Linked DNA regions of Drosophila melanogaster. The protein of the gene in region 2 interacts with the protein of the main gene of each other region in a pairwise test. Each region holds a gene or a part of one and is shown on either strand. Other genes may lie near its edges. The genes, in order: CG30039, CG15784 and CG42758.

Region 1 (3,124 bases), on a different chromosome or scaffold from region 2:
CCTACACCTGCTGCTGCCATATAATTGCATTACTCGACGCCATTCTCTTTTGCCATTCAACTTCCTTCGTGACGTCACTGCACCATGACGTTTGCAGGTCCTGGCTAGCTGATTGCGATGGCCTACTAACACAGTTCAAAGCTCCCGGGTGACCCAAATTCGTGACGACAGCGCCCCACAGCAAGGGTCTCTTTGTGGGCGTGGCCCTGGCTTTGATGAATTGAATCCAGCGTCCTGTGGCCTTTGCATACTCAATATCCCCTACTAACACAGCACATCCCTTTTTCGGTTCCCATTCCTTGGCTGCTCTTTTAATTTGCGCCCTCGACGATTTTCATCCTGCTGGCAGGGGAAAAAAGAAAAATCATGGGGCGAAAAGTGCCCAAAAATATTAAAAATGTAACTGAAAATCGCTTTGACTGCTTTTGATGTGTATGATGGCATTTACGGTGGGCTGCCTGGCCAAGAAATTGTCACACACACTTGAGTTTGTAATTCTTTTGATGTTGTCCTGCAGATTAAGAGGAAGTGCCGGAAGAGGAAATGGAAACTTAATCGAAAGCAATCTGAGCTTCGAGCGAACCGATTTTGGTCCTTTGAATAAAAAAAGACTCTTATTGAAAATTATTCAGTAGTCAGGCATTTTATTTAACAAGTCTAGTACGAATAATTTAGATAAAAAGTTATACAATTAGTTAGAAAATTACGTTCAAGTAAAAATCTTAAGACTTCATTTCAAGTAAATTTTGTACGTTTGTTTCCTAAACGTAGACAACAATTTTTAACACGGTAATTTCGAACGCTTCATAGGTTGCTTGCGGTAAGCACCACCAAGTACTTTTCTGGACGAGATCCGTTTCACCTTGAACAATCGACCATCTATCTCGGCACATGAGAAAAACTTGGTGCGGGCCGGAAAATAGATCGTGACAGTTCCGCACTTGGTACAGTTCACAGCGCGATCTCCGTAAAGAGTGCTTTTCCGTTTATGGATCCTTGCCCTTTTCCTTTTTTTCACTGATCTCGATGCTTTGCATTCTGGCTGCTTATATTTATGTTCCCGATTTAAAATCCTCGAACTACTGCAGCGCTGGGACTCTTGAACCTCTTTGGTTTCTTTCACATTTTCCTCAACGTTTTCAGGTGATTGCGGTAATGGAGGACCTCCTTCATCAGTTGCGGCTTGTGTTTCTACACTTGGAAGCTATTCAATTGCGTGAAATTCGTGTGTACGTTTGTGATGTGTCAATACTCACCGGAAAATTTTCTTGGCTCATTGTTTTGTGATATTTATCATCTACGACTTATCGTTAGAACGTGTGATTCGTAGAAAGGATTGTTTGTAAATGAGGGCTCCCAGTGTTTTAAGTAAGACAATAGAATTCAATGGGTCCTGAGTTTTCATGAATCGAGAATTTCCAGGCTGCCACGTTGTATATCTTGTTTCAAATCTTTCTAAATCTTAGAAAGAGCTGCAAAATTCGATGTTTACCAATAGCTTGCTAATTCAACTTGAGCTCTATGCTCTTTTGTAGCGATCCGAAACACTCGACAGTGGATTAATTTCGGTGGAAATCAAGTCAGGTATCACCACTTTATTTTGCAAAGCATTTGACCCCCCCTTACTTATACACAAATCCACCGTCTATGACGCTTGTTGCATGCACACACACGCAAACGAACGAGGACTATATGTCCTCCAAGCACAAATGTCAAACGTCTCACAAGAAAGAGGCGGCGGTGGCGGCGGAAAGTGGGCGTGGCAGGGTAAACAACATATCGAGTGAAGTCCTGCTTGGCTCGACTTACTAACGAGTCGCTTTTCCCCCAAACGAGGACATAATTCTCAACAATTTTTGCTGCTCGCCTTTTTATTTTCACATATACATATACTTTACACACATTTCCCCCAAAATAAAAGTCAAGGATAGGGTAGCGGGTGGCCAGGATGTCCTTAGCGAAACGGTGAAGGGAAGGGAAGGGATTGCAGTGGCAACCACTCGCCCCGGGCTGTTGATTTTTATTCAAGAGTGTGCGTGTGTGTGTGTGTGTTGCACATAAACAAGACGCTGTGTAATAGATGCCGCAATGGGCATTACTAATGCGCCCCGTGGCACTTTTGCCCATATTTGCGCCAGACGGGCATGGTGCAGGGGGCAGGGGGGTGGTGAAATCAACGTGCTTTGTGGGCGGCAAGGGCGGTCCATAATTGTGCAGTTAGAGCCGCTGGCAGCCGCAAACTGGTGCTTAGATTGCCTCATTTGGATGTTTGCTTTCGCCATCCGGAAGTCATTATGGCTGCGGATATGGGTATGCTCACCTACACCACGAGAATCATTATTCAAGCGAAATTAGTGGATTTTATAAAATCGAAAAGAAAATTATTAAATTATTATTATTATTATCATTACTATGTTATACATAGGTTGTAGCATACAACATAACTTAATGATAGAATTATTATTTTCGTACCTGGTAAATATTGTTTCTACTCACATTAACTTTAGTTTTTCAGCTAAATGGATATTAAGTACTTACTACATTTTTTTCTTGAGTGCAGCAAGCCCTGGGACAGTGAACAAGCTGTCAGTAATGAAAATTCAGACAGGTTTGGCAAATACAAATATGAAATTATCCGTTTTGTTTATCGTGATGCAGTTGCTGGTGCTGCTGGCTGCACAGGCGATTGACCTTTCGCCGCCGCCGCAGCAGCAGCAGCAGCAGCAGGGTGCAGATGTGGCAGCCAGCTTAAAGGAGCTGCAAGGGGAGATGGCGCATCCATTGGGCAGCCAGTGCATCAGCGATTGCCTCGCCGAGAAGGGCAACCTAGTGCCGGATCAACTGGGTGAATGTCAGCAGGTCGAGCAGCAGTTCGACTGTACACTGTACTGCATGTTTGATGTAGAGCCGCGCTATTAAGCCATTAACCGATATAGTGCAAATACGCACAGGCTTGCTGGCCATTAAACCAATTATGGCCAGGACCGTTGCACGTAGGTATCCTTACACAGGAAATACACAAAATAATGAAGTATGCCATTAAGGGGGGGAAATGTAATTGCTTGTTACATGGCGGCAAGGTCGATGCCAGTGCTTTTTTTCTCTCATTATTTTCCATTTCACA
Region 2 (5,170 bases):
TCGTATTCTATTCAAATTTAACTAAATATAAATATTTTTAGATTTTTTGGACGAAAATTTAAGGGAGTCGGTTACTTGCGCCAAGCGCATCCAAACCTCGGATGGTTTTCGTCATTGGGCAGGATGGCAACGATATTGCCGAAACGCCCAAAATCTGCCTAATCTTAAGGTTATCTGTGGGATCTAGATGTAATTAATTTAATGATTTCAATTTGTAACAAATAAATATTATATATGTATATGCCGTGAAATAATTTCAAAAGACTAAATAGTTTCAATACCTAAGAGAGCTCTGCTTCCAAAATTAAAATTATATTATTACATTTTGATAAATTCGCGTTTACGATACAGTCGATTGTTCCGAATCCAAATCGATTTCGGAATGTGTTGAGTTTCGGGTTCAACAAAGCTTACGATCAGTTTAATACTTTAACACTCTGGCAACCCTACTCGCTCTCTATTTCTCTCCGAGTTTCGTTCATTATCAAGTGAACGAAAGCTTTAAGCTTTCTCGCCAAAAACTTTGTGGAGCAATGGAGTGGCACTATCTCGCTTACGTGGGGCTTTCATTTGGCGACATCGGCCGAACAAATCGGAGCGTTTTTTCGCAACGTGTTCACAAGATATCAAAAGTCATTGAGAATTAATAAAATATGAAAAGTCAAGAAAAGAAAAGTATATCCCAGTGCCCAGTGCCAGAGATTCCGTTCTCTTATAAAAGAATCGCATTTCATGGATATATATACATATATCCTAAACAATCCCTATGGGATGATATTGTGCCCTATTGCGATCGCCTTACATAAGTTGCCCATACCCCAACCAATATACATAAGTATATACTATGTGACTCATATTTCCCTGCCCCCCAAACGGTTCTCCAGTTTCTGAGAAACTGGAAATGCTATAAACAAGATCCAAAGATCTGATGCCTCAGTCGTTGAGCTGCGTTGTGATAAAGTTGATGCAAAAATGAAAACTCAAGTGTATACTCATTTTTTGTTTTCGTGTTCAAGTCCCAAGAGGTCCCATGAAATTTACAAACATACATAGTTGCCGAACTATGTTTACTCCCATTTTATGAATAAGTGCTCCCCTGATATGGGTTTCTCAAGAAATCTCACCAAAACACCCTGCTGCCATATTAAAATTCTGTGAATGATAATGAAATTGAAGAATAAATAAATATATTTCGTATTGTTTTCAAACAAAAAGTTCCAAATATTGCCTATAATGTGAAGTCCCATTTTGCGTATGAGAAGTGTGATGTTTTGAATACCCCTTTTTAAATCTGTGATTTCTTACGTTTTTCCGTTTACCAAATATTTATGAAATTTTTAAAACATAAATAAAAAATCATATGCGTAATCAGTATTTTCTGATTTGTGGTGAAATTCGTAAAGAAGACCTTCAAAAATATATTGATGTGTTATTGGTGCAAATATAAATGTATATAATATATATAATTTATATATAATTTTGAAATTCTACTTATCAAAAGAATCGATGTTGTGGTGATGTGCTGATCTCTATGCAATAAATTAAATAGTTTTAAGTGTATTTTTTCAATATAAATATATAAAATAAAAAAACAGCCTGTGTTGAATTTTTGTTGCATTGGAATTTAAGTTCCAATATGAAAAATGTCATTTACAGATGGATTATCTACTTAGTGCATGAGTGATAACTAATCATGGAGCATTATGAGCATATCCATCTGAGAATGTAACGAATGATCCCTGATCCCTGATCCCCGATGCCTAAATGTCCTGCAAAGTGAGTTCGGTTCCTTTTTGGGCTGTGAACTTTGCCAGGAAGACCACCAATTCCATTTTCCAGACTGTTCTTTATCCATTTCGATATTTGCAGTGTCTGGCGAAATTCAGCATAGACTTAATTTCGTTAATTTGAATCATTTGTTTAGTTTTTTCTTGTGCTGCGTTTTGTGGAGCTATTTCATCACATGACGAAACTCTTGCAAAAAATTCCCCACTGCCAAAGCTTTTTTTGAAGCGTTATTCCGGTTTTATTTAGCTTTGTTTTGTTTTGTTTTGATAATCGGAGAACGACGCAAAATCCACGTACTCGATAGCAAATTGTGAAAACAAACGCGCGCGTTGGTATTGGTGAGAGAGCAGCGAGCTACAGACGAGCCTCCCTAACGTGGACCTAGATCAACCGCACTCACGTTAGTCTCAATCAATGTGTTGCAAATAATATTATTTTTTTTTTGTTATTTAGCGCCAGTTTTTAGAATATGTTAGATGCACATTTAGATTGCAGATTTTGTTTATTTAGATACGTTTTATATTTCATGGATTGAATTTTAAGGCCAAGATTCACACACCTATAAATTTGCGAAGGGCTTTTTCTGTTGTCTATTGAAATGTTTAATTTGTATTGAGGTTCCACTGTTCCCCGTTTTTGTTCTGCGACGCATTTCAGTGCTCCACCAGTGGGGCGTTCTCACCGCTTCCTTGCCCCTTTGCCCCTTTGCCGCCTTGCCGCTCCGCTGGCGCCGCCAACCGCCGACGCCGCTGAGCGTATAAAAAGTGCCGGCCGGCAAGCGAATGGCATCAGTTTGCAAGCTTTCAGCTTTGTGGCATAGCGTATCCCAGCGAACTCTAAACCGTTAAACCAAGCAAAAAAGCAACTAGTATTACACCAGTGAAGGTAAATCGCATTGAAGATACTATCAACATGAGCGAGTTGTCCAGACTGCAGCAGCAGCAGCAGCAGGATCAGGATCGGGAGCGTGTTTCCCAAGAGCTGATCGACTGCGATATTGACTTTGTGGAGGATACGACCTCCAAGGTGGAGGAGGAGGCCAGGATGCCACCAGCCAGTTCCAAGCGATACACCAAAGCCCTGAAGAAGGTGACCAAGGTGCAGCGCATGCTGGAGCAGGCCATGATCCTGCTGGCCGAGGAGGAGGCCAGGTGTCGGCAGCAGGAGCAGGAACAGGGCACCAAAAGGACCAAGAAGCAGCTGAAGAAGAAGGCCAAGAAGGACAAGAAGAAGGCCAAGAAGCTGGCCAAGCAACAGGCCAAAAAACAGGCGGAAGAGCAGACGGCGGCTGGCGAGGAGCCCTCCAACACCTCCAGCTCCAGCTCTTCCAGCTCCAGCTCATCCAGTTCCAGCTCCTCCAGTTCGAGCTCCAGCTCCGAGGACGAAGAGGTATTCTATAACGGTTACGGCTGGATCAGCAATCCATGGCGCCGAGGACCACATGGCCATCACGGCTTCGGTCGTCGTCTTGGCCACGGTTTTGGCCACAAGCATGGTCGCAAGCATGGCCACAAACATGGTCACGGGCCGCATCATCATGGCCGACATGGACATCATGGACGGCCGCACCACCACCATCCGCATGGTCACCACTTTGGTCCCCATTTTGGACCACACTTTGGACCTCACGCTGGGCCCTCTCCCTTTGACTTCGATCGGAGATCCTTTCGCGGACCTTGGCATGATCAGTCCCAGTTTTTTCAATGGATGGGCCTGCCGTGGGCCCTGGACAATGCCGCGGCCAATCGGAGGAGCCACTCGCTGCCTAGACTATCTAGGCGCGACTGTCGTGGAGATCTCGGATTCGGATTCGGACCAGGATACGGATACGGATATGGCCAAACGCGTCCACGACATGGCCGTCGACTAGAGAGATCACTTTCCCGTTCAACATCCGGTTCGCTGGAGAGGAAGCACTGCCGCAAGCCGAGGTCCAGTTCCAGTTCCAGCTCCAGTTCTTCCTCGGAGGATGAGAAGAAGAGGCAGAAGTGCAAGGGCAAGGGAAAGGGCAAGGAGAAGAAAAGACAGCAGCGCTCCTCATCCAGCTCCTCATCGAGCTCCAGCTCCAGCTCCAGCTCCAGCTCCAGCTCCAGCTCCAGCTCCGATGGCGAAGTGCAGAAGATTCCCCATCGACGCGGGCACCACTTCGGACCTCCACATGGCCACCACCACTTTGGTCCGCGCCATGAAGGTTACCGTCCCCATCACGGCGGACACCATGGCCATCACTTTGGTCCACATCATGGTCCATTTGTCGAACATGGACATGGCCCCCAATTCGGACCATTCTTTGACGTTCCCCAAAGAGAATCCGGTGAAGGACCGCGTTTTGAGCACCAGCCCCGTCCGGAGTTTCCTATTGCCCATCATCGACCACCACCAGCTGAGTTCCCTCCAGGTCGTCGCAGTCGTTCTCTGTCCCGATCCCACTGCCGCAAGGAAAAGCAGGAGAGTTTCCCCAAAGTCGAGAGGGAGGAGCGCAAGAAGGGCAAAAAGAAGCACGGAAAACGCGCTCATGGACATGGGCATGGACATGGACATGGACATGGCCATGGACATGGACATGGACGTGATTAGGCAATCGCAGCCAGCGTTTAAGATGCATTAAGATTCCTTCAATACAACCTCCCACACATATAACCTTCAATATTACTATACATTTAACACCCAGAAGCTTCTATTCTATTATTCTATAAAAAATCATTAAAAAAACATCTAAAAAAATGAAATTAAATAAAAAAAAAACAAAACTCAAATCTATATACTTCGTATTTTTTATGGAAACTTAATTTATTTATTTTCTTCTCCACGGTACAAGTGCATTCGTTAAGCTCAACTATATAATACCCATTACTTTCTGAGTGCGATTGCAAATGACTCAATTGCATTATTAATGCAGCTGGCGGAAATGAATTAAAACTACACTTTAAACTAGATACATTACGAGTGAGTAATTACTCTATTTGTGTTGCTTAAGTTGGGGAAATGCGAATGGGGGGCTTATGGACATTACGCACCGCGATAAGATTGGTGTATTCCTGCAGAGGTTTTTCCCCAACCAAATGACAATGCAATGGCAGCGATAACAAGCTTGATAGGCTTATCAAATTATAGGTTTTTCACCTGGTTAAATATTATTGTTTTGACACTGCAAAACTCGCAAATTAACCCATTTTAGATTAATTGGTTGGGTTTATATTGTAACAACCTGTGGATGAATCGCGGACGCAGAATGTTGACTGCATTCTCTCCTTCAAGTGGGTACAGTTTGTGGTCGCAACTGTTCTCAGCTGCGGAGGGGAAAGCCTGACAATCAGAGATCCAGCATTCTTGTAATTAAATGTAATATGTCCAAATAAATACACCTTTTAACTTTATTGTG
Region 3 (3,102 bases), on a different chromosome or scaffold from region 2:
TGCACTGAGGGAAAGTGGGTTGCACGCTGGGTGGTGGGAGTGGGATCTCATTCAATTAATTCGATGGGATTTGGTTTATGGTCTCATTGTGTGGAAAAATAATTCTATTGGAGGCTTTTCGGTAACCACAAACGATATAAACAGAGTTACTATGAGCAACTAAGCCAATTTTATAGAAATAGATACAACGATCATACAAATTTTTGGAAGTTTTCATTGGAGTTCATTATATATTTTTGCGTTGCTTCTTTTTATAAATTAGCAATAAAACTCATTTGGGCAAAAGTTATGCTATTTCGGAAATTCGCGTGTTGAAGATATTAGGGATTTTGGCAAAATATGCTCTTGAATTTAAATTCTATTTTACTAATTTAATTCATTCTAATAAATTTAGATTTATGTATATTTTACTTTACGCGCTCAATCGAGTTTTCATATGAACTGTAGATTTAATTTCCACCCCTCTGAACTGGTCACACCTGAGAACTTGGCCAAGTGGGTGGTGAAATCCTTCGTCCTCTGTTCCGAAAGCTGGTGGAGATTGACTGCTCCACATTAATCAGCGCATAAATTTAACGCATTATTATTTATGTGCCTCCCATCCGCGAGCATTCGCGCTTGTTTCATTTTCGAAATAGAAATTGTTTAACAAATGTCACGCGAACTGAAAGCAACCTCGACTCCTTCCATTCCCAAAAACCTGCGCAATCCTGAACAAAATAAATGGCGCTAAAATGATTCAATTACCCAAAAATGGAAAAAAAAAGAAAAGAAACACATTTTTTTTAGGGGAACAGGTGGCCTGAGCCAGGCGACAAATTCTTTGGCTAAAATTTTTAGACGTGTTTATTGGCGTGATGCAGTGAGGGGTTGGGATGTGGCACACACCTGTGAAAGTGTAATAAGCGAAAATAAGATTTTAATTGCCAACGTTTATGGGCCGCACTGAATGCCAATTTAATGTTCCAATTGCAAGCACTTTTCCTACATTTTTAGTGCTATAAACTTAAATGAATATACGGGTAAAAAGATTGCAAATAGGCTTTAATTTTAAATGCAATATTATTCAGTAATATTATTAAATATTACATACCTCTTCATGATCCATTTGGTGTTCTGCGTAGTGCCTGAAATATAGCAAACTGATGTTCTAATTGTCGTGTGGATTCATTAGTTGGTTCTATTTGATCTCCAACCACTTGCAGTGACAAAATTCGATTTCCAGCTAGAATGGCTAGTTTCGATTCCTTGTTTGTCCTGTTCCCTGTCGTCTTTGGAATGGTGCGTATCCTGAGTATCTGTGTGCTTTCGCTTTGGTTGCATCCACCGGCAGGCGAGGCTAATGCGCAATTTCCACTTACCCATCCCAATTAATTCACGCTTCGTTAGACCCAAGGGAAGGGTACCATGGGGTTATCCATTGGGCTTCTCCAGCTTTGACTTCATCCTCCTTGCTTTTTTTGGTCGGTTTACTGCACTTAATTTAATGTTGTGCTGTTGTCAACGCAAGTAAATCAAAGTTGCGACTTTTATTTATGATTTCATTTATGTGCTTTACCATTAACTAAAGTGGTCTTCCATTCGAGGGTTGTAAAGTCAGGCAAAGTGTTAAATAACCCGTTTTAGGAGTCACAAAAATTTCATACAACATGACAGTATTTTTAAAATATTAAATGATTTGTAACGATCATCAGTTGAATGATTTCGTTTAAATATTATGAAAATAAGTTTTTTTCTACGTTTTCTGTTTCAGTATTTTTAATTAGTAAACTAAAGTATTTAAATATAGTTTAGTAATTTGAAATATATTTTGACTCTCCATCAACTTATCGTTGCGAAAGTGTTCCGAAAACCCGACGAAGCTAGCTATTTTCGTTTGTGTATTTTCATGTAAGTCATAAACTTCATAATCTGCCAAAAATCTTCCGATTAGATAAGTTGATAACCACTTAGGCCTGGACAATCAGCGATGAATGTATAAGGCGAAAATATACAGTTTCTTCGGGATATCTTTTAGAATAAAAAATTGTGTATAAGCTCCGCTGTTACACTTCCTTCCACCAACGAGTCTCAAAAATATCTGTGGACCATGTGCATGCAAGTTCCACGGTTTGGATGTCGAGTTCCAGTTTCCAGTTCCCGTTGTAAGACCGGTGCAACCAGATCTTGTCGAAAGCCCGGATCTCGCTACAGAACCTTCTGCACTCCACCACCTCGCTGTAGTCCCAGATCCTGCTGCACATCCGAATCCTGCTGCAAATCCGGGTCCTGCTGCGGACCATGTGGGTCATGCTCGAATGGCTGTGCCGCCTGCTTATCCTCCTGCTGTGGGATATTCCCCGAAACCTGCTGTGGTCCGTGGTGTGAGTCCTGTCTGGATCCTTCCTGGTTCTCATGGCTGGCTCCCGATCTCGGGCGATCCTGCTGTTGTGCTTGCATGACCTGTTGTCGATCCAAGTGCTGATGAAATATGGATAGTGGAAAGTCGTTGTGAACAAATCAATTGTAAAAAAAATTCAAATTAAATTAAAAATTGAATTATTTCGTGTTGTTTGCAGCTGATTCTGAGAAGTGGGAAATATATAAAAAAAACTTCTTATTTGTGTCACCTTATCCCCTTTTTCGATAGAATTATTTAATCCTTCGCAGTATGTAAAAGATTTTATAAACTTCGTCCCTTAACCTGCCAAGTGTAACCTTAATTGAATAAGAAATACGAGAAAATGCAATGTTGATACCGCAACTGTGACGCCATATTGTAAAACTATAAAAAAAGTATGCAAGAACATTGGCATAATTCGTGCAAATCGCAAATCGTAAAAATTTCGCAAAAATTCCCGTGGCGTCGTGGAAAGAACCGCAACAAATTGGGCCAAAAGGGCAAATTAGCCAGTGCGGCATAAAAGGAAAAGCCGCATAAGGACGCACTTGCCCGGGGATCAGGGCTAATAAAAAATTATAGATTTTCATCTTTGCATATTTAACTTTTATCGCGTGGCAGTTTCGCTTCGCTTATGTGTTTTAGGCCAAATTCATGTTGGCGGCCTTCCGAGGTTGCCTTCTGTTGCGGATTTCTTTTGCGGTTTTTATGCTGCCGCAACC

Evidence for each region.
Region 1: the proteins of CG15784 (region 2) and CG30039 interact in a two-hybrid assay, tested with the Drosophila melanogaster proteins (one large-scale study listed by BioGRID).
Region 3: the proteins of CG15784 (region 2) and CG42758 interact in a two-hybrid assay, tested with the Drosophila melanogaster proteins (one large-scale study listed by BioGRID).

What each region holds. Positions count from the first base shown.
Region 1 is NT_033778.4:12,050,351-12,053,474, forward strand, and holds CG30039 (uncharacterized protein), read right to left. Parts: upstream 1,406-3,124; 5' UTR 1,278-1,405; coding exon 1,257-1,277; intron 1,205-1,256; coding exon 782-1,204; 3' UTR 627-781; downstream 1-626. Other genes in the region: CG44314 (uncharacterized protein), read left to right, coding at 2,626-2,919.
Region 2 is NC_004354.4:5,427,980-5,433,149, forward strand, and holds CG15784 (uncharacterized protein), read left to right. Parts: upstream 1-1,591; 5' UTR 1,592-2,700; coding exon 2,701-4,365; 3' UTR 4,366-4,547; downstream 4,548-5,170. Other genes in the region: CG16756 (uncharacterized protein), read left to right, coding at 42-187.
Region 3 is NT_037436.4:14,565,594-14,568,695, forward strand, and holds CG42758 (uncharacterized protein), read left to right. Parts: upstream 1-1,846; 5' UTR 1,847-1,890; intron 1,891-1,953; 5' UTR 1,954-2,089; coding exon 2,090-2,464; 3' UTR 2,465-2,540; downstream 2,541-3,102.